Neodiprion lecontei: one gene and its partners. The protein of the gene in region 3 binds, or shares a complex with, the protein of the main gene of each other region. Links are inferred from orthologs where the notes say so. Each region holds a gene or a part of one and is shown on either strand. Other genes may lie near its edges.

Region 1 (6,871 bases), on a different chromosome or scaffold from region 3:
TCGAGACACAACCGTTTGGCTGACATTTTTAATTGTCGTGTGGGGGGAATGCCTGAAATTGACCCAGAATACTACGCGATTGTTATGATTATTATTTCTTTCTTCATAACGACCTTGCTCACGATGCGGTGTCGAAAGAGGAAAAATCTTCGATCGCGACACACAGTTTCCGAGAATTAATTTAAAGACAGCAGCTTGTTCCCTCTTTCTATCGTTGGCGGGTTTAACGGGTATAGTTCGATGAGTCTTGCGATACATAAAGATTTGATTTCGAATAAATGAACCCAGAGAATTCCTCTCATCTCTCGCTACAATAAACATTTCATTGAAATGAAATTCGAGATTCGAATATTTTTGTACAAAACTTGCAACGCGTAGTAGGTACGGGTATAAGTAGGTAGGTAGGAAATTACGTATCCGTACGTGTGTCTGTGTGTGTGTCGTGTGTACACATACATATATGCATTCATCGTTATGTAAAGTGTTAGTGACGTCATCATGCGGGTACAAAGCGCCGCTCTAAGGCGGACTAGTAAACTACAAAGCTTTCATTTTCCATTACATTGGGACAGGGCCGAAAGCAGAGCGTAATTATTGTTTATACAATGGTCTGTAAAGGAACGTATGCGTAATTATTTTGCATTAAAACAATACATGTAATTTACCCAATCCAATGAAATGTAACGAGACTTTTTTCCAAGCAGTAGGACAAGTGTAATTTGTACTGAATGAAAGACGAAAAATATTACCCGGAGACCCTGTGACACAACCACAACGGAAAAGGAGGAGTTTGACGATGCTGATCGAGGCCTCGAAACTCGATCACGTTTAATGCAACAACTTCCGATCGACGCATGCTGTCGAGACTACATATCGATGTTCGATGGATCGAAAAAATCCGTAGCGATTAGTCAAATTCCGTGATATTTTTGCCTAAAGGGGAATTAGATATCTGGCATATTATATGTATAGATCAGATTCTTGCTACCTTCTTTATAACGCAAGATTCATTGTATGATTTATATTAATCAAATTTTCGTCAAATAATTGCAGAATGTCACTGATGTATTGGGGAAAAAAAAAAAAATCAACTTGAAAATGATTAATTTTAATCATTAATTTCAATCGATTAGTTATTTCTTAAAATTTGTCATAACTTAACAAATCTGTGGCGATGAAGAAGGAATTAGGTTGTACAAATTTGTCATTGTTAATAATGGTAGGTAATTTTCGTCGATAGGTAATTGGTAACAATATCATAAAATTTCAATAAATTGATAATAAACTTTCTTTCGTAATAGATAATTACATCAGATTTAATAATTATTGATCATATTTACATATTTATACAACAAATATTATATTAGAATCTCTTTTCCAGTAACACTTTCTATTAGTATAAATAATAATTAGTCGACTTGATGTACAAATATTTGGGCGAGGTCATCATGATCGTAGACACGTTTTAAAAATGTGTCCACTAATTTCAAACCTGAAACAGTCTAAAGGCGAAAATGATCTATCTTTAGTCTCTCTTCTGAAATCATTACCCATTATAATATATTGAAAATTATTTGTTTTAGCACTTTTCACTATACATGCAGCTTTGGATATGAAAATCTTTGAAAATAAATACTCACAACAAGCCCTGTGTCGAGTGGAATTAAACACAATGGAATGTCGCACGATGCTCCCGATTTAAGAGTTCCTATCACAGTCTCAGAGACTCCGCACCATGCTATAGACTTATTAGATTCTAGGCCCAACATTATATCCATACTTCTCTCTCTGTAAACAAAACATATATTGAACTGAGCATTATTTTTCATTGATGTTATTTTATTTCAATTTGAATACGATAAATTCGAAAGGTTCTCTACACATTTATCACTGTCAATGAATGCTTTCAATTACTCACGAAGTATTTACAATACGACATTTGAAGTTCACTGGTTCTTCCAGGTATGCAATAGGTGGTATCTCCTTCATTGTTACTCTCAAGTCTCCAAAATCTGGAGCCTTAAAGACAACCGAAAATCAATTAGATCGAATACCAGCTGAGCTTTACATGTTAAACGCATATTGCAGTTTTTGAAACAAACCATCCTCTGCAGCTGACTCGTTTGTAGGCGTCCTCTTTCACCCAAATTACTCCGCCAAACGATATCAAGTTTTCCTATGTTAGTTGCATTATGCATCATTTTTGGATCCTTGGTTAAGCTCGGCTGAGGAGTAAGGCAGTATAAGTACTGCCGGCTCGATCCAGAATCTAATAGATTCACTCGCCCGTAAATAGACTCACCTTGCAAGTTTGTGTTCAAGGTTGTTACTGTGGAGAGTACATTTTTAGTTAAAATTTTTCGTTTCCCCTGCCATAGTTACAAAAATTATCTCACCATTGAATAAATGGGATGACTCAAGTGCTACTTTCTCCAAACAAATCGGACCGGCAGTTTGATTCTGTATTTGAGCCTCCAGATAAACGTCGTCAGACTAGAAAAATCATATGATTAATCGTAAACTTTTTACATTTATAACTGGGTCCTTTAATTATAAATTAAATAGGATAACAAATTTTCATTAATGTATTCTTTGTCATAGTTTTCAAACAAAGATACCCTAAAGGAAAGATCATTTACCTCTGCATTATAGAATTTGGTTTTAACATCGAGTGGTTTGACGACTTGGAACTTGAAAAATTTGCGAAATGATAATGGAACAGGTTCAGAAACTGTGGGGGTATATGTAACTTCGCAAACCAATCTGAAAATGAAATTGTGAATTTTTATTTTCGAAACTTCGCAGTTCAGGATTGAAGAGAGTGGTTTGCTCACAAAAGTACACCAGACGGTTAAAATTTTCAACCAAAGAAATAACACGGATTGCTAGTAATCTGAGATTTTATAAAAATTGAAGTTGTCAAATTCCAATAACTATAGATTTCACAGAGTGGAATCAACAAAATTTCTACCTGTAAACAGGAACCCAATAATCTCTGAAAAATTTGACTGTACTACAAAACACCAAAATATAATAAATGCCATACTACAGAATAGCGCAACTCTCTTACATGTGTGTCCCAATCTCTTTAACTTCGTGATGGATAACTTCGTCCACTGTATTATCAGGGCCTAGTTCCTTAGGCATACCGTTATGACCAGACAAAGGTATTCGTTGGGAACTAGTTTGAAGATCAGCCTGTAACAGATTTTAGTTAAAGCATTATTTATGCCAACTCAAATGTTGTCATACAAACTGAAAAATAAAAGAATCTTACTTTCACCATCACGTCTTTAACTAATTGGGAACTACCGTTGTGAACGCATAAATAGCTCGAGAATATTTCTCCCAAGTAGATATTACTGAAACAATTGTAAAGCATTTATGATAAGTAAAATTATCGGTAGAAAATGGAAAAAATTTTTCATCTCGGCCACTGTGATCAATTATTACCCAAAACTCTGTGGCAACATCATGAATTGGCCAACAGCAAGGGTCTCCATTCCCTGGAGGGAGGTGTTGTCATTTTTAAGCTCATTATTGAGCGTGTTACCTGGAAGATCTGTCGAGTCGCAAGAGACAATTACTGGAGTAGCAAGTGTCGGCCTGGTAAGCCGCATAACTAGAAATAAATAGAATTTAATGAAGAAGTTTTCAATTAACAAAACACAAAAATCAACGAATAAGTTAGGCGTATGAGGCAGTTGACATGAATTTCCTTACTCATTCAATTATACAATATTTTGAGAACTAATTGGTCATGATTGTTCAAACGCACCTTTTAACGCTAACAAATGTTCACTTTTCGGTTTTGCTTCCATTTCTCTCGTTCGGTGGTAATCAAGTAATAAATTCCTTGTTGTTTTTCAACAGTCAATCTGGATCTGAAAAATCTGGATGCATAACCTATGACATCTGGGGGATTCTTATGTCAAACATTGAAGCAGAGACCTACTCATCTCCATAGAGCTCATCGCTGATTGGAGTTAAGATCGTAGGGAATTCTGCGGCTGAAGACTGGCAATTTTGTAACTAGTAAAATAAATGAACAAATCCGGAATCTGGGTGATTCCGGCACAACCACAACGTTTGCCCGACGAAAGAGAGACGCTTTTCAAGATTCGAGAAAAAATTGATGATCAATTGAAGCAGTTTATAAACAGCAAGAATTTTTCCAACAACATAATGTGAGTGTGCTCTCAATAATATTGATCAAATTATCGTTGAATCTGATAGCATAAAGTAGACGAATTATTTCCAGTTTAGAAGTCACGAACAAAAACTAACCTAACTTAACCTCTCATCAAGATTTAGAATATTTTTTAAATATGATTTATGACCATACTGATGTGTTAACTTTGGCTAACAATTGAACTCTGTTTTAAACGTGATACAACAATTTCATTTCAACAAATGTTCGATTACAGGGCGTCGCTAACCAAACCAAAGTCTGAAATGACACCTGAGGAACTTTCTAAAAGGGAAGAAGAGGAGTTTAACACCGGTCCCCTGTCCGTTCTGACACAATCTGTTAAAAACAACACCCAGGTTTTAATCAACTGTCGGAACAACAAGAAACTGCTCGGCCGAGTCAAAGCATTTGACAGACACTGTAATATGGTATTGGAAAACATCAAAGAAATGTGGACAGAATTACCACGGACTGGAAAAGGAAAGAAAAAGGTAATAAAATCGAAACTGACCTCACTTACCCTCAAATTTATAACTGATTGTAGGTAAAATTTAATAACTGTATGATTAAAAATTGCAGGCTAAACCAGTGAACAAAGACCGGTTTATATCAAAAATGTTCCTGCGAGGTGATTCGGTTATCTTGGTGTTGAAAAACCCACTTGCCACAGCATCAGGCAAATAATATCACTAGTTTGTAAGAATTTTGTAATTATTTTTAACAAGCTGCGATTATATTAAAATAAAGAACCTACTTTAAGCCGTAAGCCAGAGTTTATTTTAGCGTACTTCGACCTATGCATACTTAGTACATATCATCGATAAGATTGATTATTCAGTAAAAAAGAAATCAGATGACACTTTGTGATTAATTACACATTTGGTCATATCCTTTCGACCCGATCTCACCAATTAATCCTTTTCTGCAATTGCGGTCAGATGCTTATCGATTTCTTGCTCGTTGAGAACACTAAGAAGCCATGAAAGGAGAGAAAGAACGAGTTAATCACAATGTATAACTGCAAACAATTGGTTTAAAAAAAAAGCGACATATGAAAATTCATTCATGAATTACCGGAACTTCGGATTGCTCTGGGAGACAACTCCGACCTCAATTTCAGTTGGTTTAAAATCAACAGAAAGAACGGTCGAAAGACAAGTGATAGCCAGCTGAATCGCTTCGTCGTGATCATAGTTCTGCTTCTTTTTTAACTTTTTCTCCAAGTACGAGTTGGCCTCGGTTTGTTTAGCACCAACTGAAATTGCTCTGTAGCCACAAAAGTACCCTGCAGGATCAGTTTTATAAACACAAGGCCCTTTCTCCTGATCGTATGCTATGAGTACCATCGAACATCCCAGAGGCCTCATTTCCGCATTTTGAGTGTAAATCTGACTAATATCAGCCACACGGCGGCACAAAGTGTCTACAGGAATGCTGTAGTCATGTTTGTACTTGAAATGGGCAGCTTCGTAACGAGCACGTTGTACTTGAGATTTGCTGTCAGCTGTAAAAATATCAATTCATTAAAGATTCGTTCAAGTATCATTGTAAAACATAATGTAATTTTTATGATTTAATTAAATCGTTGTAAATAACAGTTTTGAGTATTATTATGAAAAAAATATACTCCACGATTAAATATTAAGTATCCTGAAAAATGATGGTTCTGTTTTTATAGCAAAATTTGATTCTCAATTAATGAAACCTTTTTCTAGAAATGTATCAAGAGCATAAATAGCAGTATTCTTAAAAATAATTAAAAAAAAAAAAAACACCTAAATTCCATAGGTTTCATGCTTAGAAACAAAATCTATGTATGCAGGTATACGTCGGGTAAGTTTCAATTAATCAAGGGGCCACACTTGAAAATGGTTGGTGAAATTGAATTGGTTGGAAATGATTCTTAAATTCACAATTGTCAGCAGAAAATATCTGTGACAAAAAGATTTTCTCGAGATTAGTTTGGATTGTGAATAAAATGTATAATGCATATCAATACAACACTTTTAAAACTCTCAATATCACAGGTTAAATACGGAAACACTTTAAAAATTTACCAATCATCCCAGTCATGACGCAGCCAATATCTTCAGTCAATTGGAAAACGTGTGTAACGCTTGAGGCATCGAGAAGCTTGTCCTGTAATTTAGATGAAAAGTAAAATATGAGTCAATGATGTGCCAATGTAAAACCGTTTTTCTCCTCAATCTGACAACATAACCTACCGGAACTTTTTTTTGTGTAGCAAATACCGCGGTGTCGACGCCTTTAAGAGCGACGGAGGTCAGGCCGCCTTGATTAATAGCCTTAAACGCATATTCTGGAACACAAACAACGTTTTAATTAATACAGAATACTATCCATCAAAAAGTGAAACACTAATCACGCCGAGTCATCATAAACACGGTAATGAAATGTCGAATATTGCACGGAATACTCGCTCGGGGATCGTCGGATTTTTCGTAAAGAAAACGGTGATACTGCCGACTTTTTTGCAGACTTACCTACTTGGTAGAGCCGACCTTCCGGCGAAAATATCGTAATATGCCTGTCAAAACCAGCGCTACTTCCTCGCGACATTTTCGCTCTCTGTACTGACGGCTTTGCTCACAGTCAGTTTTGCGCTGCTGTGGGGGGTGGGGGCGTTCCAAAACGCCACCTGAATGAGTAGATTAGCTT
Region 2 (7,369 bases), on a different chromosome or scaffold from region 3:
ATGCTGACAGCGAGTTCTGTGTTGCTACACGATTATACGAATTGTCGATTCAAAATCTATTTCAACCCACGGCAGGTTTAATTTGGTATATATAGCTAGAATAAATCTGATTCTCAAGGTTTGCTGCTAAAAAAACACATCGAGAGACTTCATGCGGATCAGCACAAGTAAAGTACAACCGCAATATTATTAACAGCTGAATATATCTTCTTCTGATGATGATTCCGTAGAATACTTAACTGCTTTTTTCACGACAAACTTATTACTATTTTGCAGATTCACTAATGTTTGCTGACATTAGTACACCAAAATGATGAGACTTCGGACTTTTGATAGCTAATCTTCGCCGATTCAATGCACACGGAGCACCCTGAAGAGAACAAAATAAGATGAATAACATTTCTGGACAATTTCGAAAGATGACATGGGATCCAATCCTGATAATATCACAAATAATAGCCGTTCAAGCAGTGATATACGTTTGCCTTGGAGTGTGGATATGGATTGTTGCCTCACTTCTTGGATCGACCAAATCATTGGATTATGCTTTTCAGTATAGCGAACTCCATGTTCGTGATCTGGGTGGTAAAATGGTCATCACTATGTTCTTGTTCAATGCCTTAATTGGAGCTTTGGTCTTGTGGTGGATTGTACAAAGGACTAAACAATGTATGGATTTTGCGTGCACCGCTCATCTGATTCACTTACTCTGTTGTTGGAGTTACAATTACAGTTTTCCAACAAGTTTCAGCTGGTGGTGCCTGAACATCGTTTCTGTTACCGTAATGTGCATATTTGGAGAATTCTTGTGCATGAGAACTGAACTTCAAGCAATCCCTCTTGGAATGAATACCCAAAAAACAGCTTTGTAAATATTTGCTTGAATTATAAAATCATATTAATCAATCTAATTTATTATTAAAAATAAAAAACGCCAGAGAAAACCAATGAAACCTAATAAATTTTGTTAACAAACTTTTGAAAGAAAAAACCAGAGTATCATTTTTTATTACCAATGTTAAAGTAACATTAGCCCATAATCTTGTAGTTAACACAGGGAGTGATAGTAGAAGGAAATTAAGGAATTCAGTAACAGATTGAAGTGACGAAGTGGTCGACTAGTGTAAGGAAAAAAATGTTACATTATAATTTATATTATACACATATGGTTGTACAGAGTAGCGATGAGATAGATACAACTAATTCAATACATTCTGCCAATTTCTTGACACACTATAAGTTTTTGTTACCGAACCTACAATCTAGTGAGCATCTTCTTTGTAGAATCTAAGTCCGCAGTACCCACAGGAATGATTCCCAGGTTTGTCCTGTAATTGGTAGAGATTGCTGAATTCTTTGTCTTTACAGCGGTATTAATTTATGTGTATGTCTAGGACATAAGTTATTTGTCTGAGGTGATTCAAGATTATTTATAAAGTTATAATCTACCAAGTTAATGTAGACTTTAGGGTGTCCAGTGGGTCCACCTCCACCGTCACAGGCAACAACTCTCTTCGTTGTTGGAGTTGGCGGAACGTCATCGATTAAATTAATAGCCCAGTTTGGATTCACTTGTTTTGGTTTATCCACAAATCTCACCAATCGATAATCCTTCGCGTCCCATTTCTGAAGTCATAATAAACCAAATTAAATAACTTCAATTGATAGCAGACATAAAGATTTTAAATTTCATGGAATACGAATCAAGGTTTACGTCAACGCACCCAATTAAAAGTGCGGTAACAGTTCATTAAACAGAGAAAACCAAAGAAGATGAACATAACCTCACATTTACGTAACAGGATAAGTCGTAATTATTATTCACCTGGCCAGTATGCGTTTCTTTTTCGACGGGCTCCCAAGAAGCTTTGTTACGTATTCCGGTTGTGAAAGCCGGGACGTTTATTTTGCAAACTTTCGTTTGATTCCCAAGCAGACAGACAACTTTCTTGCACGCCATATTCACAACTACTGATCGGCTAATCTGTCTGAAGTTGCAGTGAGATAACAGCTGACTCACGGCTCTCGCTGCGCGACAGTTTCATAAACCTGTTCAAATGAGTACTCACCGTAGTATCTCAACGTGTTTCCCCGACCCGTGCACAAGTATCACAAGTGTTCAAGATACGAGAAAAGTATACCAATTATACGTTTCTTAATCCCTAATTTTTTGCTCTATTGAAAATAAAAATAGCAAGTTAAGCGATGAAGATAGTCGATTATTTCACAGATCGTTGTGATGTTCTCTCCGTATATTTTGCAAGTCTCATGCATGATGTTGATCAACTCAAAGTACTACAGCAATCAAACCATAACAGTTTTTTATAGAAATGATTATTATAATCCAATGGTGTAGTTAGATTCAAATACATAGATACGTATATGATGAATATCTCCGTGACATGCTACAATTAAAACATAACATTTCTTTACAAGTTAGAAAACCTGTATAACCTAGGGTAATTTCATAGTACAAACACTTATTAAATAAATATTTATTTGGTTCTTGGTTTGTTTTGGGGTTTGTTGCCACCTTGATTACCACCTCGACCTAAAGGCGCAGGGCCTCTTCCCCCACGTCCTCCGAAAGTGCCTGAAAGAACATAAGCATAAACTATGAAATCTCAAAATTCCTTTAATTGCTTCATTTAATGTGATTTTGACTATCGAATACCTCTGCCACCACCTCCACCTCCACCTCCGCCTCCGCCTCGACCGCCTCGTTGATTTTGACCGCCACGTCCTTTCATTTCACCTCGTCCCCTCGATTTCATTTGAACGTCTTCTTTAACCATGTCTATAACTTCATCTGGAATTCTAAGATACTTAATGGTACTACCACGAATGTAGCATTCTGGCATCCTCCAAAATTTGTCACCATCCTGTATTGACAATTTGTTATGATGATTAGCAATGATAGTATAGAATAAACTCAATAATTTACAGCAATTTTTATAAACACATTGCAATGAAAGTAGACTTTCCAAGGATGGTTAAACTGGAATGGAACTTTCAGCCTTACAGTACTGCACACATTATTTAACGAGTTTTTGGACGAGGTTACATTCAATGCTGTGCCCGTAGTAAATGTAAGCAAGCTAATTGAACGCCAACTGAGATTACCCTGGATGTGCAGATGACTTCTCTGAGATTAATGTTCATCCAATTATCACAGCTAACCAAGTGTCCATTGTATGTTTCCCCATTTTTGAGTTCGACGAGCTGAAATAAAAAATACCAAACTACAATTGGCAATAAGTAATGAAACGACTAGAATTTTGAGGTTAAGATTTACCATAGGATGATTTTGTGCTGTTCTCAACAATGAAAGCGGTAGCTGGAAAATGAAAGAACATTATTATTTGAATTTATTAAACCATCTACTGATCATAATTTTAGCATGATCAAACTTTACCATTTTTAAAACCTTCCCGCACGATTTGTTACGTGTGAAGTTTTAAACACTTTCAATTTCGACTAATGAAGTAATAAGTCAACATCACAATTCACAGCTGATATCGACCATATCGACTACATCGCCTATCGACTAGCGAGCTTCGATGCAAAAGTTTTTTACACTGTTTTTTTTACCGTCATATAATGCATATAAATTACCAAATGCGACTCGCGAGAGAAAGAAGTTAGGCTTAATGAAATCGATGCCAGAGTGCAGCACTCTTCAGATTACTGCACGGAGGGAATATGCTGAGGATTTAAAACTAACTAATTTTGATTCATATGAGAGGTAATTACAAAACATGAAATGAAAAGCTAATTTATTAAAAATGAAGAATTTACGTCTTCACACTGACTTGGCTCACGGATGACCATTTCAAAAATCTTGATTCTTGGCGCTGCCGACGGCTGACCATATTTTCGTTCAAACTTAGCCAACTTCTCTAAACTCCCGCGTTGGTGGTGCGAGCGCCACACGAACGCTACATTACTAGGCAGAGGATGCAGAAAATGCTTCTCTTCCGTATATTTTTCGGACACTCCTATGAAGCAATATGAAAGCTCGACTCACCGGCGAGATTTGAACGATGTTACTCCACTTTTTTTTAACTGAATTCTGACCCACCCAATCTCAGAATATGATTTGACTCATACGAATTCCAACATTACTCATACAGTTGGCTGAAGAATTTTGCATAGGGCCCGTAGAGAAATTACAACGAATAGCTTTATTTTGATACTATACGATTGGCGATTTATTGAGTAATATATATTTCTGTGTCAACATATATACATATACATATGTACATATACACGCGAAAAAACACACTGAGTCCTTAAACTATAAGTGTACATACAATACGTAAAGTTTGTATATACTTCGCTTATATACTCCAAGTAAGACTATTCAGTGTAATTTCATTGTTACTTAACAATATTGACTGCTTGGGTTGGTAACTATTCTATATTATACGTGTATTCGCAAGATCTTATCATACGTAATGTTTATATAGAGGTATAGATTATATTGTATGTAAATGTGTGTGTGTATATGTATGTATATTTTATATATATATTTAAAAGTTTGTTTCTACGAGCAGGGTGTTTATAATCCATCAACAAATGTGTATTACATACGAATATAGGTATATGTATACATGAATAATGAATTAGATCAACCGCGTACCTGCACGAGTAGGACTGTAAAATGTGTCAAGATTGGTCCGGAAAGTTTATGGGGAGGTGATCCTTCAGCTTCATCTTGGTTATCGCTATACTTCTAATGGAAATTAATATATAATCGATGACAACGGACTGGACTTACATCGGACTGGACTTACATCGTAGTTCGTATATATCGTGTACACGTGATCAAAGAATTATTAGATAAACGTAATTCTAAGTGCAGTATCGACACACGATTATTGATCTCATCTATACACATATATATACACGCACTTCGGAGAGTCGAAAAAGCTGTACGTGAATTGTTGTTAAATTAATCAGCGGAGACTCAAGTGTTCTTCTCATGTTGCGTAACACTAATAATTATCGTGATATTATTCTGCAATAAAAAAACAACAGGTTGATTAGAAATAATTCGAGACAATTTGATTCCAAGATTTTATATCGTCTGTCTAGTATACAACTGCGATTTTATGGAATAAATTAATACGATATTGTATATAATAAGATAGCTGCAATCGACTTATCAATCCCTGAAGTCAGTCTGATTCGTACTTTATGCGTACTGTTAATTGACAATTTTCAAAAACCTGTTTCCTGTACAAATGCTCTAGCCACGATGCATGTAGTGTCAACGGAGCAGCAACAGAGTTCCTGTCAAGCCCGGAACAAAACAATGCTTTCTAATAACATCTACAAAAGACGAAAATAACAATAAGGCAAAGGAAGATAAAACGACTTTGAAGTAATATTAGTACCATCACGATTGAGTAAATTATATTGGGCTCAGACGTATTCCTTGAAACTCTCTGTTGATTACGGGTGAAATCGAAGTTAGGGATTGATTACCACATCCACCCATTATATTCCTCTTTTTTGTTAGGGGCCGTACTTAAATTACGTAACAATTTGAGAGGCAGAGGGAGTCAAACCAGTTTATGACGTAATTTATCTAAATAGAAATAAAAGTTTGGTGATTGCAAAAATTTTGTAAAAAAATTTGGCAAGCCAGAGTTCGTCTATGGCAAATCTGTTAATATCCTGACAGTAGCGCTTCTTGGCATAAGACAAGTCAACTCAATATAGGAGTTTGCGTGAAGATGACCAGAAATTTTCAAGGATCAAAAAATTTCGTACAATATAGGAGGCAGGGGGAGTTTAATATTTTGTTATGGTCTGTTGTGTGAGGGGGGTTGAGGTAAAAAAGCAAACTTAAATGCGTTATGTAATTTCAGTACAGCCCGTTAAAGTAACAGCCTGAACGTTAATGAGATCCATAATTATCTAGAACTAGTCAATTTTGATTAGGTATTCACTGTGATAAGTTTCCCAGAAAACCGATAAACCGTTTTGCTACACACCAAAGAATTAATAACTGCCCAATGAAAATGCGAAATGTAACTGATAATTTTAACGTTGGTTGTTTCGCGAAAAAAAATCTTCAACTCGGGATACAATTTATTATTAAAATGATCATCCATGTACTGAAGGTGAAGAATAAAAATTACGAATTAAAATAATGAGTTAAGATCCCTCGATTAGCATTTGTACTCGATCATAATGTATTTTCTCAATTTCTTTCAAATTAAATAAAAATAAGTATTGAGTCTCGTTTGAAATGCCTATCATGTAGTATGTAATATGTATATTATAACAATGAAAGCGGTAGTGTTTACAATAGTTATTGTGAATATCACAAAATACGTTAATTTACTAAATATTTATCAACTATTTATGTATATATGTATATATATATTATATGTGTATATATGTATATGTATGTAACAATAATCTTATCGGTACTCTCGCGTTGTATACAGTTATAATATACTATTTATACGTTTCGTCATCGACTTTATCATCATCATCAAAAGAATAAGCAAAACGCAGAACGATCTACAGACTACAATTTGTGTGTGTGTTTATATATATGCATATTATCATCTAGCAATATAACTAGCAAGCTAGTAGCTAGGCAAAAGGCTATATTCTCTTATGCGAGATCGCTTGATAATTGGCGACCCAATAGCTCTACCTTTATTATTTAGACAACGTCGATTTAATTCAACAATATACCCTACAAAACAGTTGTATCATACATTTTTTCCCTCAATTTATCAACTACAATGACTTATGTATACGGTATCATATTAAATCGCGCGTTTATTACAACACATAATTATGTATACATATAATCATCGTTAATTGTGAGTCCACCACAAAGGCAGAGCATTTAAACATTAGACAAACGGCACGAGAATGAGAAAACTTGAAAAGAACGTAGGGCACGCATGATTCTTTGTCAAATTGATACTCTCGATCGTACAGATTACAGCAAAGTAGTTTTGCACCACTACGGGGTAATTTTTTTTACTTATTAAATCCTTCCTTATATCACGAACAACTAAGCAATGCAACATAGATCGCCTAGCGTGACGTGTTATATAATATAAATATACACATACACACGGGAGTAACTGTGTGTGCGTGCGTGTGTATATGCAGTTTCTTCTTAGACGATGACGAACGACGACCCAAGGCGACGCTACTAGGCTATCCTATTTCGTACGCATTATACACATAATTCTATAGACCCTAGATGCCAGATGTGTTCGACTGTCGATGATATTATTTCATGTTACATCTTATTGGTAGTATTAAACGTGGATACGACGATGTCGTAATATAACATACAAATATGTGGGTATATTGTATGAATATTATATAT
Region 3 (8,906 bases):
TTGAGCAACGATGATCTCATCTAGAGTTACAAATATTACAAATAAGTCAACCAGATGTTCAATGACCAGCGGAAAGTATATATCATAGGCATTGCCCGTCAGATTCGACAGCTGCTGGATGGTCAAATTTGCGACAAGCGATACCCGTTTGACGTATGCTGACAGGTCCTGCAGAATTGATAACAAGACATTGACGTCGTCCCCCTTTTCGTCAACACTGCATCGTTCGCCCTGGGTGAGTAGCCTCTGGTAGAATTTATTACCTTCGATTTTCAGTAGTCTGATTTCCCTGCAAGTACCCGCGACCGCCGCGAGAAGCTTGGCCAATGTTTTGTTCTCCATTTCTACCATGTCCATTATGGTAATGTCCTCGCGGGGGTTGTAAACGAGATGGATCGGCCCTTGGATGACGTATTTCAGAGATGTGTCAGGAACCCAGCCTGAATCCTCGATTGATTTGTTAAAAAAGTTACCATACTTTTTTAGCTGCGCTTCTCCGACCGTTCGATGAATTGCCTCATCCCTCGCACTGTTCCACGATATTGAGTCTATCATGTTAACGGTGCGGATTTTTTCCCTACGCAATTTCACACTATCAATATCAGTCAGTTGTCAGTTTTGCCGTCCATTACGCTTCTCCTCCGCGTCCGGCGTATACATTGTAGGTTAGTTTACCGATGTCAATTTCCACTGGCGGATTTGAAGGTTAGACAGACTGTCGGAAACCGAAGAGTATTAGTAAACTCTTTGGTCGGAACGATAACAGGACAACCCGTTTGTTGCGCACGCCCAATGACGCCCATATAAATCACGATCTAGGCAACCAACGCTGCGTGTCACCAGATAAGAATCACACCCACATCAAACCGTGGTGAAACAAGGGTCAAATGTCGTCAAGCTGTAACCAGGGTCAAGTGTGAAGCAAATTTTCGATAAGATCATTTATTAACCAGTCGTCTTTGTGCAGCTGTTACAATAATTCAACGGGCTCTTAGTCGAGCTTGTTCACAGTCTCTGTATGAAACGTATCTAGAAATAGCCGTTTAAATAAAAAAATAATAATATCTGAACAAAATATAATTGGAAAATGATCATTGACGAAACACGTGGTATCGGCAATTTGTTTTCGGGTCGTGAAAAATCTTGGTATTTTAAAATGTATATCCTTTAATTTCCAAGCCCCTTGAATGTTATTGTCAAGGCTAATTTAGGGCTGATCAGCGATTTGTACCAGAGGGTTTCAGTGGATGCGAGATCCCTGCAGCTGGAAATAACAATGAAAACATTCATTTCCACATATCGAATTCGAAACTATAACCATGCCCAGCTATACACACATTTTTTCGTCATTACGTGGTTTTCTTACTGGATTCCAACCCGGCACAGGATCATTGTTGGTAATCATTATTCCACGGATACAAAACGAGAGTCCAAGTCTGCCCAAATGCGAGTCCTGAAATTTTTTCATTGTCATACAACTTACATCACATATTATTTACATATCACTTTGGAATGTAATCCACATACCCTCCAATCAGATATAAGACAATCTGAAATGCTAAGTATATCAGTGGCTGCAGTAGCTTCTTCGATTCCTCTTGTGGTATTCAAATGATTTTCATGTAAAAACCGCGCGAACGTAGATGGTTGAGTTTGAAAGAAGTACGCAATTTCATCTGGGTCATGTACAAACTTCCATGAATTTCCTTCGACTAGACCTGAAAATTTAAATGACTACCAAGTACTGGATAATCAAAAAATCGGTATTTTCGGAACTTCACGTTACTTTGAACGGAAGATTAATTTAAACTTGTGATGTAGCTCATAATTCACATAGCATATAATTCTACAAGATGTTTTTCGATTTACTTCTGAAAATGAACTATAACTTACGTTTGGGATTAGTTACTCGACCGATGGCATGAAGTAGGCTTAAAGATTCTCCACGACCTCTTCCTTCGCAATCGATTTGTCTATTAGGTACTAAAAGCATACGTACATTGAATAACATTGGAGCTAAATCCAGCAGCTGTATATAAAGCTGTGTAAAGTGCTATGAAAAGGCTGTACGTAAAAACCTTTCAGAGAAGCGAATATGAGGTTAATAACAGTGCTCCTAATATCTCCGATATTGTTGGATAATATTTCTTCTACGATATGTTGAGACACGTGTACCATGTGAGAGGCTCTGGTGTTAAAGACTAGTGAAACTCTCTTCAAAATATTCTTCGTGACCGCTTGTGTGACTGGATTTATGCTGCAAAGCAATACAGTCAAATTCAACGAGTTGATTACAGTGAAGAGTGATATATCATTATAGAATATTTTTCTAGTGCTACAAAACCACATGAAATGTCAATTTCATCACGAGAGCCTCACCTGATATGACAAATACCAAATTTTTCCCTGACATTTGGTGGAAATAAGGTTTGCAGCGCTCCCATGCCCCCTGAATCAGTGCAAATAAATACAACTGGTTCTTTGCCCGTCCCAAAGTATTGCCTGATAAATAATTATAACCGTCATACTTGAATTCAACATACATAATGCAAAATCTGGAACACAGACTCACTCGAGGAGTGTGTGAAAGGCATCTTTATCGTTGAAGTAAACATTTGGAAAATCCTTAACGAGTAGTAGGCGTCTGCAACAATCTTCAAAGAGAGAACCGTATCTTGTAGTTCTGACCATAAAATCTTGAAATTTGTCTCCTTGCCTCGTGAATCTATCTATGAGAAGAGGTAGTAAATTATTTAAGGAGTATTTATCATCAACATCAAGTGTTTCTCCTATTTTTAATCATTGAAAATAAATGTCTTTTATGCTATCGACAGTATTGATCAACCTACTATTTTCATCCGCGCCTTGATCAGCCGGTGTGATCCATTCGACACATTCAAACTCCTTCTCTTTGGCAAGTAGTTTAAAGCTAACGGTTTTTCCACAACCCGAAGGACCAGAGAGAATCAAAGCGCATGGCTTGCTCTTGATAGTTTTATATTCCAACCAATCGTATATTTCTCTTTGTTTTTGTCGGCTAATAGATAACTCTGAGGCTTCTTGAGGTTCGCAAGCTTTGAGAAGAGCCGGTAAGCTGTTTATATGTGTTTTTTTGTCATAAATATCAATCGTTCGTGACACTCGGTCTAGGGACGGTACTTCTGTTTCTATTTTCGGTCGCTTCGCAGGTGTCACCACATCTCGCTCACTCACGTCACAGTCAAAGGACCATGACATCCGACTACCTTTATTCTTCTGTAAATTCTAACGAATTTGAAAATTTGTGAGATGACTGTGGCACGTGATAAGTTTGGATCTATTATGACTGTTTTCTGTATTCAATGCTTATTCACCTTTGAACCGGACATGTCTGATTCATTTGCGGAAATTCCTGGACAGGGACTGTGGTTCGAAATTACTTTAGGGCGTGCCTAACTGGGTTCTAGATCTAAATACTTCCTGATTGTTACCTGCCGCCAAACTTCAAAGTGACAGAATGTTCGTTCTTTGGTTCATTCAAGTTATTCGCTTGTCTCTGCAGCCATCTGTAGCTAAATACAGGAACAACGTGAAATCGGCCATTTTTAAATACACACAGTGGGCATTGGCTATTGGCACCATTAACCTCTGTTTATGATAAACGGTTGAGCCACGAATAGTATTACTTCGCGGGTTGAGCACAGCAACGTCGCGCGAGACTTGGTGAGACGTAAACAAAAAGGTTGCTCAGATTAGGATGGAAGAAGTTTAGGAATTGAGGTTGAAGTTGCAGAATCCTCCAAGTACATACCTCTTGAAATAAACTTCCCAATTAATCCAAGATGTCTTTGGCTGACGAGCTGCTGGCCGATTTGGAGGAAAACGATGACGCGGACAAGTTTATGGAAGAGGCTGAGCCGGAATTTATTCCACCTGCAGCCGTTGCTAAGACGATTGAAGAAGGTCAGGTTTACTATCCACGGTCTTTGTTGCATATACATATCAGTTACCGGATAATTCAGACTTCACATTAAATTCGATACTTTATTACAGAGGTCAAAGTTGCTTCCGTTCGAGAACTCGCAAAATTGCGCGACTCTCCGCAGCTCCAGAAAGTCGTTTCTCTCATAGACAGCTATGGCAAAATACCAAGAAAGTCAGCCGACATCGTAGGTCCGGTTGAATCCGACCCTGAGTATCAGCTCATCGTCGAGGCAAACAATATTGCCGTCGATATCGACGATGAAATTGGTAAGTTTCCCGCAGATTGCAACAGCTTTAACACGCTCAATGGGTGGTTCATTTTGTAATTGCCAGTCAAAAAGTAGGTTCTGGTTAGGGCAATGTGACAAGTTTTAACGGATACCAAATTTTGCCAATATGTATAGGTCCCTAATTTTTCAGCAATCATTCATAGATTTACAAGGGATAAGTACTCCAAAAGATTTCCTGAGCTGGAGTCGCTGGTAGTTGGTCCATTGGAGTATGTCATGACAGTTTGTGAATTAGGGAATGATTTGGATCGAGCTAAGAACAATGAGAAGCTGCAGCAGTTCTTAACGCAAGCTACTATCATGGTGGTGTCGGTGACTGCATCTACTACTCAAGGGTGAATTTTCCAATCAAGTTTAGCATCCTGGTTAAACAATTGCTGACTATAATTTTTTTTCATTCAATAATCTACGTTATATTCATTAGCCAACTTATGACTGAAGAGGAAAAAGAGGCAATTTGTGAAGCCTGCAATATGGCCGTAGAACTGAATAATTGCAAGCTGAAAATATTCGAATATGTTGAAAGCAGAATGGCCTTCATAGCACCGAACCTTTCTATAATCGTTGGAGCTTCGACGGCGGCAAAAATCATGGGTAAGTGAGGTAACTGTGGAAAACAAAGTCACTGTATCAATTTATTATCTTGAAAATTTGAATTCGTTTTTGTCCATTTCAATTGTTACAGGGATTGCTGGCGGTTTGACAAAGCTATCTAAAATGCCAGCTTGCAATCTTCTGGTTTTGGGCTCCCAAAAAAAAATGCTTTCTGGATTTTCCCAGGTGGCTGCCCTCCCCCATGCCGGATTTATTTATTATTCTGACATAGTGCAGGACACACCGCCTGTAAGTGTTTCAATGATTTCTTCCACCTTGCAATCTGATCTATCTTGATTTTTGCTCAACTTGGACTTGCTTTTGTGCTCACAGGACTTGCGGCGAAAGGCAGCGAGGCTTGTCGCCACAAAGAGTATGCTGGCTGCGCGAGTCGATGCTTGTCACGAGAGTACGGATGGTCACATTGGCCAGGCACTGAGGGACGAAATAGAAAAAAAATTGGATAAGCTGCAAGAACCCCCGCCAGTAAAATTCATAAAACCTCTTCCAAAACCGATCGACCCTGGTCGAAAGAAGCGAGGCGGTAAACGTGTACGGAAAATGAAGGAACGATATGCGATCACAGAATTTCGAAAGCACGCGAACCGGATGAACTTCGCCGACGTAAGTCTTTTCTACAGTTCAAGATATCAGGCCGTCGCAGATTTCAGAAATCTTGAGAAAAATTGCATTTCGTTATTTTTCTCCCTCCGCAGATTGAGAATGACGCTTATCAAGAGGACTTGGGTTACTCCAGAGGGACTATTGGCAAAACGGGAACAGGCCGTATCAGACTACCTCAAATTGATGAAAAGACGAAGGTGCGGATATCGAAAACTCTCCAAAAAAACTTGCAGAAGCAGCAGCAATGGGGCGGCAGTACGACAGTCAAAAAGCAGGTTTCCGGTACCGCGTCGAGCGTTGCCTTCACCCCGCTACAGGTAAATTCTCACGTTTTTTATCTCTGGGATGACGAAAAATCTCAAAGTTATCAACGTTAAAATACATCAAGTCTCCGTCATGTTTTTATACTCACAACTCAATTCATAAAGTCTAGTATAGTTACGAACAGTACAATTATATTGATTATTGATTCTTTTTTATTTTTTATTTTTTCTTTTTCGTTAGTTTCTATGCGCTTCTGTATAATTGGACAATAAGTATAAACACTCAATTCTTTATCAGGGTCTGGAAATCGTGAATCCTCAAGCAGCAGAGAAGAGAGTCAACGAGGCGAATGCAAAGTACTTTTCAAACACTGCAGGTTTCCTCAAAATAAAAAAGTCATAGTTTGTGTTGATCATCTTCGCTTCGTCAACATTAAAAATAATGGCGCTCATATAATTCTACCATTTGGAGCATAAGTATGTAGGTAAGAGTAAATTGTCTTTTATATAAGGGAAAATAATGATGATAAAGATAACGACAGTCTTAATCGCATTATTCAAAGTTAGTAAAATTAGTTTATATCCGATGGCGAGTGTTCTTCGCGATTCCATAAATTTTATTCGACGGCCTATGTTTCAAGTAGATATACCGAGTGCTCTATTTACCTGCCCATCTGAGCTGACTTTGAGATTTTAACCTTTCGTCGATCGCGGGTCTTGAGTTCTCTCATAACGTAATAGAAAAAAATGATCTGACCTCGCGTAAGATCGGCATCCTCAGTCCATGTTTTCGTTTTCTACGTCTACTTCGCGTTTAAATTTGAATGACCGCGACTGCGTGTGACGAGCACAATCTCATTCGTTTAACCAGCTCCGCATAAAATAGTTCCGCGGTGTTGGGCTTCGGTTCGAAGCGGTTCAGGTTCGTTGGGCAAACGGTGTTGCGAGTGAAAGCATACATCGGTCAATTGCACAAACCGCGAATGACATGCCGCCGCCTCACCCACGTGCTCTCATACTCGAAGTTCATATGTATGTGTTTTTGCGCCATATTACCCAAAATTTTTTTGCAAATGGACTTGAAGTTCTTTTCATGACAGAGGGTCATGCGGCGCCTCATCTTTTCAGCGTAATGTACCGTCGTTTGAAAGCTGCAGAACCCACGAATTGCGTAACAATTATCGAGTGTGAAAAGAAAACTTCGCACTGAGAGTGAAACTCCTCTTTCCTGAATTCCGAGCACTCAGCGGTACGTTGTGGTTCGTCAATTTAGGCCCACCCCATCATCCGTCGCTAGCTTGAATTGAAAACAAACCGACCGTGGACTGTTTACCCGCGTAAACTATCGCACCGTAACCCGGCTTCCATAATAAATGCGTGTCGTGACACGGAGTCTGATCGGAGCCGGAGCGTGCGTTACTGCCTTTCCCGTTTTCCACGTGGTCGAGGCTTTCGATTTTGCTTCGGAACGCGACAAGGTTGTCGGAAAATCGTGCCGCTCGAACCTGTCTCGGTGTCCTCTGGTTGTTGCGCCCTGCAGCTACACATTGATACTCACAGGTGGTATCGGAACAAGGGCAACCTTTGGCCAATCGGAGGCCGCGAGGATGGCCAGTTTCAACGACCTCAAGACCGAGTGGTCCATGCTGTGCCAGGAGTGCACCGACTGTTGGACAAAGACGGGTGAGCCCATGACTATTAAGACGTTGGTTCTATCATTCTGGACGTTCGCGAACTGAAATCGAGACCGCTCTTATTCTGGACTTTCTTTCCCCCTCTCTCGCCTTCACTTTCTGCTGACTTATCATAATTATTATATCGTGGTTTGGAAGACAATTAGGAGGGGATAAAAAGAGTATTTGAAAAAGCGTTGTGCGTTTTTATATAGGTACACGCAATTTGCGTAAATAATTTCCAATATCTATCTAACAGTCGGCCTCTCGATCGGATCGTACTTAGATCGGTTGTTCGGTTGAACAGGTGAAATGAGAATCGAGATTCGGCACTCGCAGCATGTTGCCGCGACGGAGAGTGATACGATATAGCTGTACAATATGAATTAGAACAGCAATCGCCGTGAGCTATATGATATTTTCGATAGAAATGTGAGAGCGGTGCGCAGATGGAACGTCGAGATTATACGCCTATAGCGGCACAAAGCTCGATGTTGTTTTGATCAGTGGTCAAGGATGGTATACACAACCGTAGGCGTATACACATTTTTTACACGGCACAGCTTGTGCGCGTGTGTGTTGCGTGCCGAAAGGTCGCCCCTGCAACGATGAAAACAGTATGATAGCATGTTGTATATTATACGTACGATACCAAACGTTCCAAAAGTGTGTAAACCGTATAATTAAGAATAAGAAGATACTACAATACCTGATGGTAAAGATGCTGGAATAATTCATAGACACCGGTGCCAAATTGTCTCAACCGATTGTCGCCTCCGGCAATTTTGCTTTTCATTGCGTGCGCGGGATGGTCCTACGTTGTGTTCGAACAAACGGTTGATGTCGGCCGAGTACATGGGAAAGAGATAGACAGCGTCCTGCCCTGAATGTATAATAACGATATGTATAATGTATTCACCTACGTTATTCAACGTTGTACGAGCTCCCAACGGCGTATTTAACCGGATGGCAGAGCCGCGCCCGCGACATTCCAAATTCAATCGTTAGCCGTCCTTTCTTTCGCATTGAATCACAATTCATTCCATTGGCTCTTCCACTAGCAACGGCAACGGTTTTTCGTTCGTTACGTTTTTTTGTAATATCAGGACCAGTGCGGTATCGATGAATGGTGCGTACAAACGATCCCGACGATCGGCGGCCAAGAATCGTTGTGTCCCGCAGTTACCGAATGTAGAGAAACAAACGTTTCATACGTGTCCGAATAACTGAATAAGTAGGATGAGACAGGAAGCGCCCCTTGTCCGTTAATTCTGAAGATTTCGAAATATGGATGAACTTTGGCGTTTTACAAAATCAATGACGAGCTCGGTTATAGATTATGGTGTGTGCAATTCTTACGCCAACTCCCTTTACAGACCTCGGATAATAATAGTTTTCGATGTGAGAAAATTTCATCGGAGACACGCGACGGGACGAATTTCCAAATAATGTACGTCACTTGAGGAAAACAGTATCTGTCGTTTGTACACCAATCGTGC
Region 4 (6,872 bases), on a different chromosome or scaffold from region 3:
CATCAAAACTATACTTTAACGGGGCACGTAAAATTGTTTTTAGAAATTTCATACAACGATGCGAAACTTTTGCATAGGAAAATGAGAAATTGTCAGAAGTTCATTTTTCGACGAGCTGTGGTAAGAAAATGCTTGGTCAGGAAAATCTGAAAAAATTCAGTTTTGATGCTTTCAATACGAACTTCAAGTGAGTAAAAGGGCGAAAACGTCAAAAGTGGTCAGGGAAAAAATCTCGTTTTTTCGTTCAATGAATCGATGAGTCGATATAATTACGGTGGCACTATAAGCGTTTTATGAATTAGCATTCGATTTGGTGCGTTTCAGTAGAATAATTCAATGCCTTGGTAAAATAATGAAGATTATTTCATAATGAACAGATCTAATAACTGTTAAAGAAAAATTAACATCAAATTGGCAAATTCTGTGTATGTGACATTGACTAAAATTTAGTGTTGAAAGAAAATTGAAAGCCAACAGCATTAGGCATAGTCAAGTCAGATAGTTCGAGAAATTGCCTCTTACTCTGGATGGTAGCAAATTGCAAATGGTTTTTTGACGATGTCGTATTTCGTGGGTGGGACATCTTGGTTGTTGGTCAGTGTGAAGAGGAAGGCTTTTTCCGATGAGACGTAATACCCCTTCGTAGTAATCTTTCCCCAAGGAACATCGCTAAATCCTCCACATATTTCACCACGTCCTCCCTGAAATTGGAAAGTCAAGAAGCGTTGTTTTACTAAAACCATATTCGGGGTTCTCGTTGGTTTTATTTGGTTTAAAATCAATAAATCTTACCATAACTAGAACATATGTGGGAAAGATGCCGTCGCAGTGTCGATGAAAGGATGCTGCTGAGTAACCGTGATTCGAAGCTCTGAAAAAATTAGAAAACTCAATGTAACACAGTCATGAGTTGTGCTGCAAAAACTCCTCAGCGGATTGCTGAAAAAACTCACCTATAAATGAGTCTCCACGTCTGTTTGTGAATGCCGTACCACTGATTCAAGAGTCGCTGGAAGGCAATTTTGTCTCGCGACAGTATTTGGGATCCTGGAAACAGGATGAGACTGACTCTCGGCTGGAGTCTCTTGTCCGAGCATATTTCTGCATACTTGTTCGGTAGGGCGGCATATCTGTACCTTCAAATAAAACAGGGCAATATTCAGTCAAGTCAGCGAGCACGATTCTGATAGTTTTCATTTCTCAGCGTACTGAACACACCTCTCTAAAGATAATTCCATCGGCACAGCTCCGGTCGGTTCAACTTCCTCTGCGAATACTTGACTGTCGATCAGGAGAAGGCGAACGTAATTGATAACGCCAGACAAGTGCTGGCAAACTCGAACTCTTTCTTCCTCGGTCCAGTGCTGAGTAGGCTGAGTAACTCCTGCCTGAAATGTAAAATTTTGTAATCTGTTTTTTCAACACGAGTTAATCATAGCAGATTCAGCTTTTTGGAACATTCCACAAATTGGATGTGGAAGAACTATCGATAATACTGAAGCTCGAACCTGGTACTTTGCCCAGCTTAGAACTGCCCTCCAAACATCCTCTTCTTCGAGTGCAAGGTAATCGGATGCAATCAGCTTGATCAATGCATCTTTTGGCAGGGTACAAAACGACGTCGTTTTTACCGTTTCGACCGCATTCTCACCGATAAAAGCATAACAGCGGTCTATAAACGTCGAGCAGGCACTTTTTCCACCTACGTTTAACATCAAGAGTAATTATTTTTTGGCCCACTTCTCGCAACTCCATAGATACATGTTAATTAAGTGAACAAAAATGCTGTCTTTGCTCACTTTTGTTTGAAACCTAGGATTTCGAAGTTCGATATGAATATTTTTCTGTCAGTCAGCAATTATTTACAATTTGTTAGAATGCTTTCGTCTCCTGAATCCTCTATTTTTTGCTGACACATGAGTATCTAGAAAAGGACCTACACAAAGTTCTGATTGACTATCTTTGATAGAAAACTCATTTGGCTGCCAATATGGAAATTTCGTACGTAACATTTCAAGATTTCAAGCAACTTAGGTAACTTTAAACTGTGCAAATAAGCTCGATCGATTGCGACTTAGAGTACATAGCAAAGTGCGGGTAAGCATGGAACAAGACATAGAATTCGAATATCCTCTTTAACTAAGAGGCGACTCGAGTCGACGGAGTTGGATTTTTGTACAGTGTTGTTAAATCCTTAAACAATAATCGATCAGTGATTCAGGTAAAAGAATAGGTAGATAAAAAACAGGTATAAAATAAGTCTAGGAATAAACACACGCAACGTGAAATTTGTACTGTTTTTATTGAACACAACGAGTCGAGGCGATGAGAATTTGATCACAGCGAGAAAGAGAGATATTATATACTTGATTTGAAACTTTTGCAAATATGCATATTACAATTTGATTATTTCGATGAGTACATAGTAAGTTAATATGCTAGATGAGTCGACTCGTTCTGAATCGGAATGAAATAATACAAATTCAATTAAACACTGTGCCCTAATCCTAAGCTTTAAAACTATTTAAATTACAAGTGGTCGCGTTCTTTGTTCGTCGACGGTTTCGACCCTGAGCAAATTTCGCTCTTCGCCGCTCTTCTTTCCCGTCGTTCTTGTCTCCGAACTTCCAACGATGCGCGCCGCGCGCGCCGGTTTCTAATTTTTTAGGTTAGGATAGGTTATGTTGCCGCTCTCTCTTCCCGTTCTAGTTCGCACCGGGGTTCGTATTCTGAATAAGGGTGATGTTGTCCCCCTTCAGCATTATCCTACCCAGCTGTTTTCTGTTCTTCGTTTTGACGTGATACTCCTCGGCATCGTCAAGGACGAGATTCATGTACTCGTCAAAACCGACAATGTGACCCTCGATCCTCAGGTTGATGTTTTCAAAGAGCCAGACTTGTACTCGGGAGCGATTCTGCAGATATCGAAATATCAGGTTTATCGGCTGCACCATAACCTTCTGCACCTTTGGCGGTCCTTTGTACGACATTTTTGCGAGTCTTTGAGATTGCCCGTCACTTTTTTAAGCGTAAGCTTCAGTTTTAAACAAATTCGGCCGATACGTTGATACCGCGTAAACCACGACGCGTTGTATGCTGGGATCTGAATAACGAATATGGCCGCCGCGATGAGCCTGGCGGCACTTTTTCAATTTAAGCTATTTAATCCCGTCGGCAAGTGACGCCGCACCGTTTGGTGGAAGCATGTCGAACTAGCGCAGCAACACTACGGTTGATATAAAGGATCGTTGCATCGTCGCCGAGTTTGGAATGTTATCTTACGTCGATTTTCTGACACAACTCGACGTCAAGGGATTTCATTGGTCGAATCTAACGGAATACGCCAATAAAATGAATTGGTGTTGTGTTGTGTCAGAAAATTGACGTAAAAGGAAAGCGGCCATATGCTTTTATATTTTATGACCGCGACGCGCTAAAATTTGAATAGATTTCACGAAATTTTTTATTAATAAAAATTTCTTCATTCAAGCGATCTATTAATGGAAATTTATTGATATCAACTGACAAATAACAATTTATACTTAATAAAAAATACATGGTTGCATGTAAAACGTTTCAATGAGTCGTTTTTGAATGGTTGTAACCGATTACGTTACTTTTATATGGTGAAAATGAGCAAGAAATGAGCATTTTGTAAAAATATAATAATTTTCTTAATTTCATTGTAGATTTGTGTATTTCTTTTTGATAGCTAGCCAAAAATTGTGATTGTACATGAATTTCGTGAAAAAAATGTTAATTAGATATCCATATTATGCTGCAAATTTATGGGAAATCTGAAAATTCAATGTCCACATGACTAAGCAAATTTTCGAAATACGTATTGTTAATATTTGGCAAATGACGTAAGTTTAATTTCATGGATTCTTAGTCCAAAAAGTAAATACTTTTTCGTGCAAGTAAATATTTGTCAAAATTGTAAAACTGCGATTCGTGAAAATTATTTATTGAACAGAGAAATGTGTTCCAGTTTTCAGATTTCTTCGCACAAATTTTTTGCAACACAATTATTTTGACTCTGTCGTAAAATAACGGTTAAATGTGAAGCTGATCATTTTTGCAACGACTTAAAAACAGTTAAACGAAATGTCAAAATAAATCACGTTACTGAAAATATGAAGAAAAGTAACTTTTTTCTACATAAAAAATGTTCAATTTCTCAATGACATCGCTTTGCCATTCGTTATCCACAACGATTTGAACAACGTGGCGAATACAATAAATCACAACGCGTATTCCATCCACAGTGTAATACGCGACCTTTCTGCTGAACATTCAACTTTGATTCACGCTGGTGGAATCAGAGGCAACTCCACGAATACTGCGCAACAATACCTACTGCTAAACGTAGCATTACGTGACCTGTGACACTCGGAAAACAAAGACCTTTTAACCTCCGGACATGTATTATATATATTTACTCATACAAGAATGCCTTATATACCTACAACTACGGCATGCGCATATCGCCTGAAATTATACAGAAGAGCTTTACGAATTTCTGGCACGTAAAGGATTAAGGTTTAACGGTAGTGACATGGAACGACATTTCACTCACGCCTAACGATGCCGGATGAAATCTCTCCCCCTTGCTCTATCCTTCTCTTTCCTTCGCGTCCAACCGTATCGGCGAAGCCGTAATACATGTACACGTATATATAATATATAGTGCAGATACCACTTCTTGCCCATACATCGAGATTAAAATAATGAAGATTGATGGGGACTCAAGAATGTCACCTTTTTAGCCGTCGCCCTCGATCTTCCCTTCTTTCTCTCACTCACTCACTCACTCTTTTTCTCTCCGAATCCCTGGCACGCGGAAAAAGGGGTACCTGGTCATTTTTTCTCTCTCCATTACTTCTTTTTGAACTGCATTACATAGTCAATTTTTCAACCAACTTCCATATCCCTACAACAGTAGAACCTCGGTTATACGAACTTGCAATGATCCGAACCATGACTTGATTTATCTGAGCTCTGGCCCAAAAAATACATTTTTAGTGCGAAACATACATTATTTCTCGCTAAAAATGTGAAGCAGCCGTTCGTCAATTGACAATAAACGACTATGTAAAACCAAAGTACTAAAATAATCGTTCCGTGTTTGAAAGAGGTTGAATATGTATTTGGATGTTTAATACGGACTGTTCGTCGATTTAAATTTGTGTAGTATATATTATTATACTTTAAGATAAAAAATTCATTTCGGTTATCCGAACTTTTGATTATCCGAACTAGGCTCGATTCCAATTAGTTCGGATCATCGAGATTCTACTGTAGTGTAGATACATATTATACATATATCGAATTACACGGGGGTAAGAAAATTTCCACGCTGTGGCAAATTTATGTCCAGTGTTAATTAAATTCAGCGTTGCTGTTTCGAACTACCCGGTGAAAGGATTTCTGGATATTCGTGGAATTTTCTATTTCGATCCGGTTCGACTCAGTTCAAAATGAATACCTGTGAAATACAAAAGCTTTACAACCAACCCTCGTTGAAACACGCGTATTGATAGTGATATTGGCTTTGTGAAGGCTGTTCATTTTTGTTTCTTGTATTTCGAAAATCTCTTTTCGACTGCATATTCATAAATGAAAATACGCGGATAACCGATTTCGAGTACAACGCGTTATGCCCGACGAGATGTAAGCGATGTATTAGTTCGAAGGGTGGCTTTTAATTCTCACCCCGGCATCACGCGTACCTAATTTCTCTACTCGTTTATCAATTTTTTTTTCTTTTTTTTCTCATCGGGGTGGCTTACAGTCAGCCTTCAATATGCCGAAAAGACAAAGAAGCCCCTGCAAGGATTAAGCCACGCTCATCATCCCCTTCTATACAGGATTATAGCCTGTAGCACATGAGTCAAGCACTTTGATCGTTTATCCATTAATGACATTTTACAATTTTGAAACGGTGTGGGGATCAGAAGAACAAAAAATTGGAAGAATTATGATGACTCTTAACTAAAAATTTGTCGTATTACCTATTTTAACACTCGGAAATTCAATTCACAAAGAGAATTTGATCCTTTGTTTTATCTTCAGTATACATAAATCACGAAACATATTTTGACGAGTATAGATGAAACTGTATAAAAATATAATTGCATACTGACTAAATCTGTATTTTTGAAAGTGAATCGAACCCCTCCCCATACATTGAGTTCCATCCAACTTTCATGTTCCCGACACAATCGCATGGTAATTACCGTAGGGGACGTTTCTGTTGTGGTTCATTATTATAGAACGCGTAGCAATAGGCAGGCAGGTCAATTGACCGTTGAATAATCGAATTGGAGGGTATAACTCACGAATGCGCGGGCTTGTCAGACGCGGATAATCTCATTAAGATTTGACTCCATTATGGCTAATACAATACCGTATACGAGATCAAAGTATCTGCACGAAATTTATGCAGCTACACTTCCGTTGAATTTGTGCAAATGTACGTATCATCTTTTCACAGAGTATATATTCCAAATATTTTCTGTACTCGATTTTCACTCCCATGAAATGCTAAATTAATTTCACGCATCGGGATCGCCATAACACTCAAAGGTGAAAATTTTCTCCCAAAAACATAAGAATATGTTAACTTTTGACGAGAAGTTTGAGGAATATTGAACTTGTATTTTACCGAGATTCGAAGGACTGATTATTTTTTTCAAATTTTAATGAGAACATCTCAATTTTCATAACCACGTTGCTGATGTTGTCCAACCAAAATTTTGACTGTCTAGAAACTAACAGAAAACTGTTGTTAATGTAATTTATTTTCTCAGACCAATTTGAAAATATTCAAACTTTCTTATCAAGCTGAAATTCGTCCTTGCCAATCATTT

The links.
Region 1: U4/U6 small nuclear ribonucleoprotein Prp31 (region 3) and probable small nuclear ribonucleoprotein Sm D2 share a complex: the UniProt entries of both Homo sapiens proteins name them as parts of the U4/U6-U5 tri-snRNP complex. The link is inferred for Neodiprion lecontei from reciprocal best matches to the Homo sapiens genes PRPF31 and SNRPD2.
Region 2: U4/U6 small nuclear ribonucleoprotein Prp31 (region 3) and U6 snRNA-associated Sm-like protein LSm4 share a complex: the UniProt entries of both Homo sapiens proteins name them as parts of the U4/U6-U5 tri-snRNP complex. The link is inferred for Neodiprion lecontei from reciprocal best matches to the Homo sapiens genes PRPF31 and LSM4.
Region 4: U4/U6 small nuclear ribonucleoprotein Prp31 (region 3) and probable small nuclear ribonucleoprotein E share a complex: the UniProt entries of both Homo sapiens proteins name them as parts of the U4/U6-U5 tri-snRNP complex. The link is inferred for Neodiprion lecontei from reciprocal best matches to the Homo sapiens genes PRPF31 and SNRPE.

The regions. Positions count from the first base shown.
Region 1 is NC_060266.1:19,485,014-19,491,884, reverse strand, and holds probable small nuclear ribonucleoprotein Sm D2, read left to right. Parts: upstream 1-4,026; 5' UTR 4,027-4,044; coding exon 4,045-4,187; intron 4,188-4,427; coding exon 4,428-4,683; intron 4,684-4,771; coding exon 4,772-4,876; 3' UTR 4,877-4,958; downstream 4,959-6,871. Other genes in the region: trafficking protein particle complex subunit 13, read right to left, coding at 1,410-1,502, 1,641-1,788, 1,919-2,019, 2,103-2,329, 2,397-2,493, 2,640-2,763, 3,071-3,198, 3,278-3,362 and 2 more; proteasome subunit alpha type-6, read right to left, coding at 5,104-5,161, 5,267-5,696, 6,250-6,331, 6,418-6,512, 6,697-6,772. UniProt on the Homo sapiens protein: Plays a role in pre-mRNA splicing as a core component of the spliceosomal U1, U2, U4 and U5 small nuclear ribonucleoproteins (snRNPs), the building blocks of the spliceosome.
Region 2 is NC_060261.1:34,774,507-34,781,875, forward strand, and holds U6 snRNA-associated Sm-like protein LSm4, read right to left. Parts: upstream 3,618-7,369; 5' UTR 3,419-3,617; coding exon 3,416-3,418; intron 3,338-3,415; coding exon 3,296-3,337; intron 3,223-3,295; coding exon 3,124-3,222; intron 2,883-3,123; coding exon 2,675-2,882; intron 2,594-2,674; coding exon 2,496-2,593; 3' UTR 2,238-2,495; downstream 1-2,237. Other genes in the region: protein SYS1 homolog, read left to right, coding at 390-872; NADH dehydrogenase [ubiquinone] iron-sulfur protein 6, mitochondrial, read right to left, coding at 1,263-1,328, 1,450-1,626, 1,826-1,960. UniProt on the Homo sapiens protein: Plays a role in pre-mRNA splicing as component of the U4/U6-U5 tri-snRNP complex that is involved in spliceosome assembly, and as component of the precatalytic spliceosome (spliceosome B complex).
Region 3 is NC_060263.1:189,154-198,059, forward strand, and holds U4/U6 small nuclear ribonucleoprotein Prp31, read left to right. Parts: upstream 1-3,645; 5' UTR 3,646-3,821; coding exon 3,822-3,942; intron 3,943-4,032; coding exon 4,033-4,230; intron 4,231-4,383; coding exon 4,384-4,588; intron 4,589-4,677; coding exon 4,678-4,847; intron 4,848-4,938; coding exon 4,939-5,096; intron 5,097-5,180; coding exon 5,181-5,471; intron 5,472-5,563; coding exon 5,564-5,788; intron 5,789-6,032; coding exon 6,033-6,137; 3' UTR 6,138-6,270; downstream 6,271-8,906. Other genes in the region: WASH complex subunit 4, read right to left, coding at 1-555; cell cycle checkpoint protein RAD17, read right to left, coding at 1,168-1,264, 1,338-1,453, 1,528-1,718, 1,894-1,983, 2,079-2,257, 2,380-2,502, 2,573-2,729, 2,850-3,264 and 1 more; uncharacterized protein LOC107218750, read left to right, coding at 7,108-7,417. UniProt on the Homo sapiens protein: Involved in pre-mRNA splicing as component of the spliceosome. Required for the assembly of the U4/U5/U6 tri-snRNP complex, one of the building blocks of the spliceosome.
Region 4 is NC_060262.1:5,976,564-5,983,435, forward strand, and holds probable small nuclear ribonucleoprotein E, read right to left. Parts: upstream 3,122-6,872; 5' UTR 2,991-3,121; coding exon 2,706-2,990; 3' UTR 2,284-2,705; downstream 1-2,283. Other genes in the region: uncharacterized protein LOC107220233, read right to left, coding at 523-701, 793-871, 954-1,136, 1,219-1,388, 1,509-1,702. UniProt on the Homo sapiens protein: Plays a role in pre-mRNA splicing as a core component of the spliceosomal U1, U2, U4 and U5 small nuclear ribonucleoproteins (snRNPs), the building blocks of the spliceosome.